Linked DNA regions of Lepisosteus oculatus. Each later gene encodes a partner of the first gene's protein in a complex. Links are inferred from orthologs where the notes say so. Each region holds a gene or a part of one and is shown in the gene's direction. Other genes may lie near its edges.

Region 1 (3,918 bases):
CAGTACCCTCACATTCATAAAAATACATCAACTCTTTACCTAAGACGCACCTCCTCAGTGACCTATTTATGCCACAAGAGGACACTTTCATCTCTAAATTGTTACAAGAATTCTGTTTTTTTTTTAATTATAAGAAACTGCATATATAATAACAACTTCTACATTCAGATCAAAACAGTCGCACATGTATTTTGGAATCTGTGCAATAGACTAATGGATGTGGACATGAAAAGTATTTTACACAAAAGTGTGAACTACAATTATCGTTTCAAAGTCTCTAACAGGAAGGAAAATGCTTCATATATATATTGCAAAAAGCTGAATGCTTTATTAAATAAAAATATTTACAGATACAAAAGCAAATGCTGCTAATTGTTGGTTAATTAATTTAATAATTCAGAAGGGGAATAACAGAGCTGTCAGGATATGTTCCAGCAAAACACCAAATTGAACAGAATTTCTATTGTAACGCTTACGGCCGACAAGCACTGTGTGTAAGATCACCGCCCTTCCCTGTGATAGCAGGACCACAGCTACTGGGCTGTGGAGAGATCTCTCTTTAGCTCACAGGGCTAGGTCGCTGCAGAGAGACACGGAAGTCCCGGGTTCGAGCCTCCAGTCGGGATGGGGCCGACCAGATGCGGCAAGGGCGCCCGCCGGAGCCCCCGTTGCGTTACAATATATTCAATAGGATATTCAATAGGAAGATCAATAATAATCAAATGTTTCTAATCATAGAACTGCTAATAAGCTATAATACCACTTCATTATAAACTTAATATTTATGCATTTAATGACATTTAAAAATGCTACAAGGTACCATGCAAGGTATCATATCATGACATCAACACTAACAGCCTATTTTACTACATTATTCCTGTTACAGTCTGGTGCATTGCAGCATAGTTTCTTTGAGGAAAAGGCCGATTCGAATACTAATTTTAATTCGTATTTTTATGTACCCTATAAAACACGTAGCTATATGTAGCTCGTATGCCTTTTTTTTATATCCATGAAAACCAAAGTGCAAGCTGGAATTTATTGCGCTTTATTGTAATTACCGCTGACGAGCGCGTCTCCGAGCACGCGTATTGAAATTAAATTTCCCTCGCTCGCCGACCAATCCGTGACGACAAAGGCCCGCCCCTCCTCCGCCGCGGCCAGAGCGAGGCTGGGCCTGTACCGGCATTCCCACAACCCCCTGCGAGGAAGCCAGAGAAAAGAGTCCGGTAACTGGAGGGGCTGAGAGAAAAGAAACACACGAAAGAGATACGTCGCCCAAATCATAGTAATTACAAATACATATTTTTTTTTCCCCCAACATGGCCGACAACGAGAAACTGGATAATCAGCGGCTGAAGAATTTCAAAAACAAGGGCCGGGATTTGGAGGTATTTGTTTTCTTCTTGACTTTTTCGGTGTGCCTCTCTCTCTCTCTTTTTGGCGAGTCTGTGTGTGTTATTTTGTTTCAGGTTCCGCTGTGACGTCTTTAGTAATTTCCAGGATCTCGAAGTTTGCACCCAGCCCAAGCCAGGCCCCAGCTCCCTGCGGCTTCGACCGAGGCCTAATTCAGCCCCAGCGCTGGGCAGATCGCTCCCTGCCCAGCACGCAAAACTTCGGGGCAGGGATTCAGGGGCTGGGAGGCAGGCCAGGCCGGGGCTCGCTTACTGGGCTCCGCAAACGCCTTTGTTTTTTTTTTATGACTGGAAGAAGCTGGGTATGGTGGTGTGCTGCTCTACCCCCGAAGCTTATTCCGGGGCTGTTGGGAGCTTCTCTGCTAAAGCGAAAGTGTTACTTGGTGCGTCTTTTGTGGAGTTGATTTTTTTTTCCCTTCCTTCTCTCCGCGTGGTTGGAGTTGTTTGGATGTGGCGAAACACGAACAACGATTGATCTAACCCACAAAACTTCCCAAACGTCTGTTTCTAGATCTCTTAAAAAAATAATTCCACGGCGTTCTAGTCTGCAGTCCTTCGTTACCACCCAAGTTAAGAAATATTACGTTCTGGGTAACGTTCTTATTTTTGTTTCCTTTTCTAAAGTCGATATTATATAGCATTGAAAATTGGAAGTCATGTGCTTCTTTTTCCAAAACTTAAAGGAAATCTCTTGAGAACGTGAACTATCTGGTAGATGTTACATAATACTAAGCGGCCCAACACGTCCTAACGTGAGAAAAGAGACGAAGTCTTTCTTTTTTTTCATCTGGTAAAGCAGTTTCCTTGTTGACGCATCAGGCTTTACTTCTGGATCAGACTCCAACATTTGGACTTTTAAATTTTGGTCTTCTGTACTTAATAATGCAAAGGAACATACACAGATCTGTACGGAGGCATGAATATAATGTTCAGACCTTTGTCAGTTTTGGCCAAAACGTCCAATAGTCTGAGCGGACTGTATTTCTACATATATAGGACCATTTAAGATTCTGTGAAGTTCATCATTTCACTTTCCTTAATTGCCACTCAGCCACCCTTTTCATAAAAAAGAAATGAATATAGCTGTGCTGCACCTTTTGTTTTTTTATTTTATAAAGCAATTAAAATGATTGAGGACCATACTCTAAAACATGAGCCATCTAAGCATCTGTATTTGTATTCATTTAGGTTGTTCTACCATTTATTTAAAATTTGACATGCTGTTGCAGGTCTTTATACTTGATTTAAAATGTCTGAGTGTCCCACCCTACATTAATCACCATTAGGATTTCTGAAGATATTTCATGCTTTCAAGCACATCATTTTTCTTCTTTCCTATTAATTCTAGTCTTGGGATAGTGAAATAAAGTGCCCCACCCCTTTTCTGTAAAACATAAACCTGAATCCAGTGCGTTACTGTTAACATCATAGGGATCCACAGTCATGGAGCCGAACTCAAAGTAATAAAATCAGTATCAGTGCTGGCCAGTTGTGAAGTCATACTGAAGGTTTTAGAAATGTCTTGAATGTTACTGTGCTTTTGTGTGCTCAGTGCTGTCCTGTGCCTTGTGGATTAAATTCCAGAGGCGTGTGAGGGATTTCTAAGCTTAAGCCCTGAGTGAACTGCCCCTTCCTGCTACATTACTCACTGCATATGGTATGAAATTGGCTAACTGTGTTACGCTGAAATGCTGTCACATTGCACAGTAAACCATTGTTAAATCCTGGACTCTCTCCAGTGGGCTGTTTTTTTTTAATGAAGAAGGTTTTTTAACCTGAAGAAGGCTCCACGGCCGAAACGTTGTGTTCTCTTTCTTCTTTTTTTCAGCATGGAATAAACCTATTACTTGTTCCTTTGCAGCCTACGCATGCTGACGCAGCTACCCACCTGTTTTTTAATGTTGTCACACTTGATAACCATGTTGTCCTGTACTGTTCTCTGGGTGTGTCACTGAGGTATCACAAGTATTCAAAATGTACAAGGGTGGGAGGTCATTTTAATACTTCATTGCATACTAGAAGCTCCTTTCATCATTTCCAAAAAGTTGTATGTAACTGTTGGAGTGACTACATTTGTCTTAGTAGTCCCTCTGAGAATGTCAGATCTTTCAGATGAGTAGAATATTAAATGTTTTTGTATTTTCCCCCTTATCCAGACAATGAGAAGACAGAGGAATGAGGTGGTTGTGGAACTTCGCAAGGTATTGATTTTCTGATTCATCAGAAGTTTCGTAGTAGCCCTTAACTTTTACAATGTTCATTTGTAATCTAATTGTTTTGGATATGCAATGACGTGTAACTTTTGAATTGGAGATTTGTTTATTAAAATGTGAATGTAATGTTTAGTAACTTTAAAAGTTGAAAGGTATTACTGTCTGTTGAACTCAGTAAGAGCTCAGGCTATATTCTAAAAATGCACAAAATCTGTATGCATTTGAAATTCATTCAATCAAAACTCACAAGCTTTTTTTGTCATTTGTTGTTACTGACACATCTGATTCAT
Region 2 (3,918 bases), on another chromosome or scaffold:
TGTTGTTGTTTTTTTAGGATTTATATAATTTAACATATCCTACAAAAATGGGTCACCTTTGAAACCAGACGTGGTGTAGGAAAATAAAGATTTAAATTGTATTCCAAGAAACTGAAGTGAAAAAAAAAGCTGTGCTGCTATTTATGAAATTCACATCAGTGTTTCTTTGGTTATTGTTGGCCAACAGTATGTTTTACCTCTGTGGGTGTCGGTTCTTTAGGCCAAGGGTTCCCAATCCTGGTCCTGGTGACCCACATGAAAAATCAGGAAAGTGTTCATCCGGGAACAGTGTTGCTAATTGATTTAACATCTGTGTATCAAAGCAAAAGCTGGCCTGGAGGGGACAGTGGGGAAGCATGCTGAAGTAAATCTGCTTTTAAAGGAGGGAAGGTGACCTGGTGGGTAAATAGTCCTCTTATTTGTCAGGTTATGATGAACTAAAGGTAGTCACTCCTTCAGAGTTACCCAGCAGAAAGTACAGGCCAAGTTTATGAAACCAGTTTTTTTGCTTCTCATTTACTACTCTTTTGTTTCCCATGGCCAGTGCTCAGCTCTAGATCACTAAGAGCCCCAGACTCATCTTAAAGAGGACTAGAAGCTGTACTTGAAAAACTTCATTTGCAGCCTTCTCGTGTTGCTGGTGTGGCATTGAAGGGAATTCTGGCCTGCGCAGAAAAGAAGCTAGACCTCTGCATATGGCTAGTGAAATCCAAGCAATAAGTCACGCGTTTTAGTATGTAGAAATGTCCAAGTTGTTGACTATAAATAGGTCCAAGTGGAAATTCTAGCAGCTGTGTTTCTGTTGGATGTCTCTCTCACATCTCTGCAGCCATCTGGTAGAGGGTCTTTCGTTCCTTATGTGTCCCCAAGCCACTTTGACAGGTAGTGTTTAAGTAAAGCAAGACTGTTATTTGCTGCATGTTATTTGGGGCACAAGAGGCCGAGTTAAGTTTCATGACCTTTTGCCAGTAACAGTCTGACGACTGATTTATTAGTGTTTTCGTTTTAAAGCATTATTTACTGGGATGGATTTCTTAACCATTGAAGCAAGCTGTTGGAGCTGTGTTTTCTGCCTGGTATAAACTGTGGATTTCAGAAGCACAAATAAGAGGCATTCATTTTACATGACAATTGGACAAGTTGATGGGCAGTTCTGATAGAGCCAGTGATGAGTTCATTTTCATTGGGGAGCTTCAGTTTCAAAGCTCTGAATGTCTGGATGTTGATAGCGTGATGGTGACATTTGAAAGGGACTCTTCAAGAATTAAGCTTAGAGGGTGCTGATGTTCGCAAAAGTCAAAATGCTAGTACTACTAATCAAAGAATATTAGTATTGTCTTTCAATTACGTAGACTGGATGCATCACAGAAGTGTTTTAATGTAGTTTTGCCAGTGCGCTGAAGTTCTTTGGAGCCTGCATCAGAGTCTGTCCATAAACCACAAGTTTTTTTTTTGTTTGTTTTATAGAGAAACCTGCCATAGCTCCACCTGTCTTTGTGTTCCAGAAAGATAAAGCACAGAAGGTAAGCCAGCCAGTTTCAGAGCTGATTTATTTCACTTCTGGGAGCTGGGGGGCGGTGTTGAGTGGATGAGAAACAAAGTAAAGGTTAAGGGATCTGAAATCCGTTTAATAACTGAACCATTTTGTAGTGCCATATTGATCATGGTAAGAGTTTGGAGTTGAATGCCATTTGACAGGAGGCGAGAACAATAAACATGTAATTTGTTGACTTATTTTTATTTCAGAGATCAGCTGATGGATCCAGTGCAGAAGATGGTGAAGGTGACTTAAAAACGGAAATTTTTGTTTTGGTGAAAAACTAGACATGCTGTATCACTTCATGAATTTATTGTGGTTTCCTGGACACTTAGAACAACTTGTACTTAAATGTTTCAGATTCAGACAAAGACGATGGAGCTTATTGTCCCCCTGTGAAGCGCGAGAGAACATCGTCTTTAACACAGTTTCCACCCTCACATTCTGGTAACTATCCCTGCTTCTTGTGAGCAAGGTAGATGTGTATGTAAACGTGATGTGAGTTCTGTTGAATTGGCTTGTATGAGACACTAAGAGCTTATTGGGGTTTTAGCATTTTGTGTATTCTGCTTGAGGTTCTATCCTTGTTAACCTTATGCCTTGAATGTGAAGGCAAACAGCTATTGTATAAATAGCAGATTTTCTAAGCACACATGGAATACATAAGCATACATAACATAAAGATGTTCAGTCTCCAAAATTATAGGAAAGGTGCATAATTGTGACCATGAAGAATCAAAAACCCAAATTATCATTTACATTTCTATATGTGGCTCATGTCTCATGTATATGTGGGCATCCCTGCCCTCCTAGGATGTGATCTAGAGATGGTTGCATCCAAACATGGCATTGACAGCTGCATAATTACTGTCTTCACTGAAGCACTTGACACTCATTCATCATCTCCAAAGGCACTGGTATATAGAACTATACAAATCTGTGGAATGGTGGTTTACACCCGGATGGGGCATTTTTTCCAAATGTTCAATTGCTTCCTAGAGAATGAGTATTTTAGTTATTTCAGACTCTGATTTGTTAAAATAAGGTATATAATTTGTAAATGCTTGCTAGGTACTGACCTGTGTGGACCCTGTAAGTAGTCTTAGAAATATTTCTTAAGCCAGAACTGTTGTTGTTTTGTTTGTGATTTGATACATTCCAAAGATCATTCGCATAATCATCGTTCACAAGGAAGTACTTTTTTCCATTGCCTTCATCCCATCATTTATTCCTGATATTTGTTTTTTTCTTGGCCTTGTTTGTTCTCTCGTGTAATATGTTGCTGATTTTTCTTTGTAGTATCCAAAAACAATGTGTTTATGCCCTCAAGTTTCTGTCAGTCCCCAACTGGAAATTCAGACTCTGAGCCTGGTGAGTTCACTGAACTGTTCTCTCTGTGGGTCTGATTTGTAAGATGGCATTGAACTCTGGAAAGGTTAAGCATAGGCTTTTAGCCAATATATTTGTTTTTTTTGTATTTTATGTTGAACCATTTCATTGTACAACCTGTTTTTTTTCTCCGTTTAGAGAATGGTGTCAGGTTTTAGAATCATTAGTCAAATTTTTCCAAAATATTTTTTTTTAACCTATAACATTTGGCAGTTTATTCATGCAGAACTAAGTTTAATCTTCATTGCTGTGCTGTGACAAGTCAGCCAGGTCAGTCAGGTCAAGTAACGAGTCTAAGCTCTATTTCTTTTTAGAGTTATAGCGTTAGTTATTTCTCTGGTGTGTTTCTTTACTTTTTTAGTCTTGGCTTTTTACCTGCTGTTTGGTCTTATTGTAATATTTGAATGATTTGTACTTCATTTCCCACTTAACTAAAATTAAAACCTTTCTTCTGGTCAGGCTGCTTTATCAGACTTGGGCCAGATTAGTTGCAAAACTTTTTGGCAAAACAAACTGGGTCTTCTACATTGTTTTGCAGTTACAATTTATATATGCAGAAAACAAGACTCTTGTAAATAAGGACTCAGCTCCCCAGGATAAAGATTAATTACTCTGGCTCATTTTTCCTGATTCCCTGATCATTAACTTGCAAGTGTTTATCTGTTTGCAGAGGAGAAGACTGTTGGATTTCGTCTGAAACCGCCCACCCTGATCCATGGACAGGCCCCTAGTGCAGGTGGGTATTCATTGCTGCTATGTCCACGAGTGGATTTAGCAGCTGCTAGCAGCCTTTTCCGCTGTGTGTGTGTTGTTTTTTGCCTGGGTTATTGTAAGTCCGTGGTTGCATGATGGATTTGCAGCAAATGCAGGAAAAAAGGAAATAATCTCATGCATATTCATGAGAAAAGTCTTAAAACTAGATTTTCCAGTCTTTAGACTAGATGTGAGAGCAAATTAATAAAATTCAAGCTAATGTTAGCGTATTTTCCTTG

Evidence for each region.
Region 2: the proteins of kpna4 (region 1) and ran-binding protein 3 are in contact, whole or in part, in a crystal structure (PDB 5XZX), measured with the Homo sapiens proteins. The link is inferred for Lepisosteus oculatus from reciprocal best matches to the Homo sapiens genes KPNA4 and RANBP3. Residues at the interface, in NP_002259.1 of Homo sapiens: Arg96, Leu99, Ser100, Asp102, Arg103, Pro105, Phe133, Trp137, Thr140, Asn141, Ala143, Ser144, Gly145, Thr146, Ser147, Thr150, Glu175, Gln176, Trp179, Gly182, Asn183, Gly186, Asp187, Asn219, Trp222, Val225, Asn226, Arg229, Asp261, Trp264; in NP_015561.1 of Homo sapiens: Asn114, Tyr115, Cys116, Pro117, Pro118, Val119, Lys120, Arg121, Glu122, Arg123, Thr124, Ser125, Leu127.

Annotation. Positions count from the first base shown.
Region 1 is NC_090708.1:5,992,308-5,996,225, forward strand, and holds the start of kpna4 (importin subunit alpha-3), read left to right. Parts: upstream 1-1,182; 5' UTR 1,183-1,322; coding exon 1,323-1,391; intron 1,392-3,571; coding exon 3,572-3,616; intron 3,617-3,918. UniProt on the Homo sapiens protein: Functions in nuclear protein import as an adapter protein for nuclear receptor KPNB1. Binds specifically and directly to substrates containing either a simple or bipartite NLS motif.
Region 2 is NC_090724.1:4,953,744-4,957,661, reverse strand, and holds the start of ran-binding protein 3, read left to right. Parts: upstream 1-842; 5' UTR 843-857; coding exon 858-882; intron 883-1,467; coding exon 1,468-1,523; intron 1,524-1,746; coding exon 1,747-1,783; intron 1,784-1,897; coding exon 1,898-1,984; intron 1,985-2,836; coding exon 2,837-2,908; intron 2,909-3,596; coding exon 3,597-3,662; intron 3,663-3,918. UniProt on the Homo sapiens protein: Acts as a cofactor for XPO1/CRM1-mediated nuclear export, perhaps as export complex scaffolding protein. Bound to XPO1/CRM1, stabilizes the XPO1/CRM1-cargo interaction. In the absence of Ran-bound GTP prevents binding of XPO1/CRM1 to the nuclear pore complex.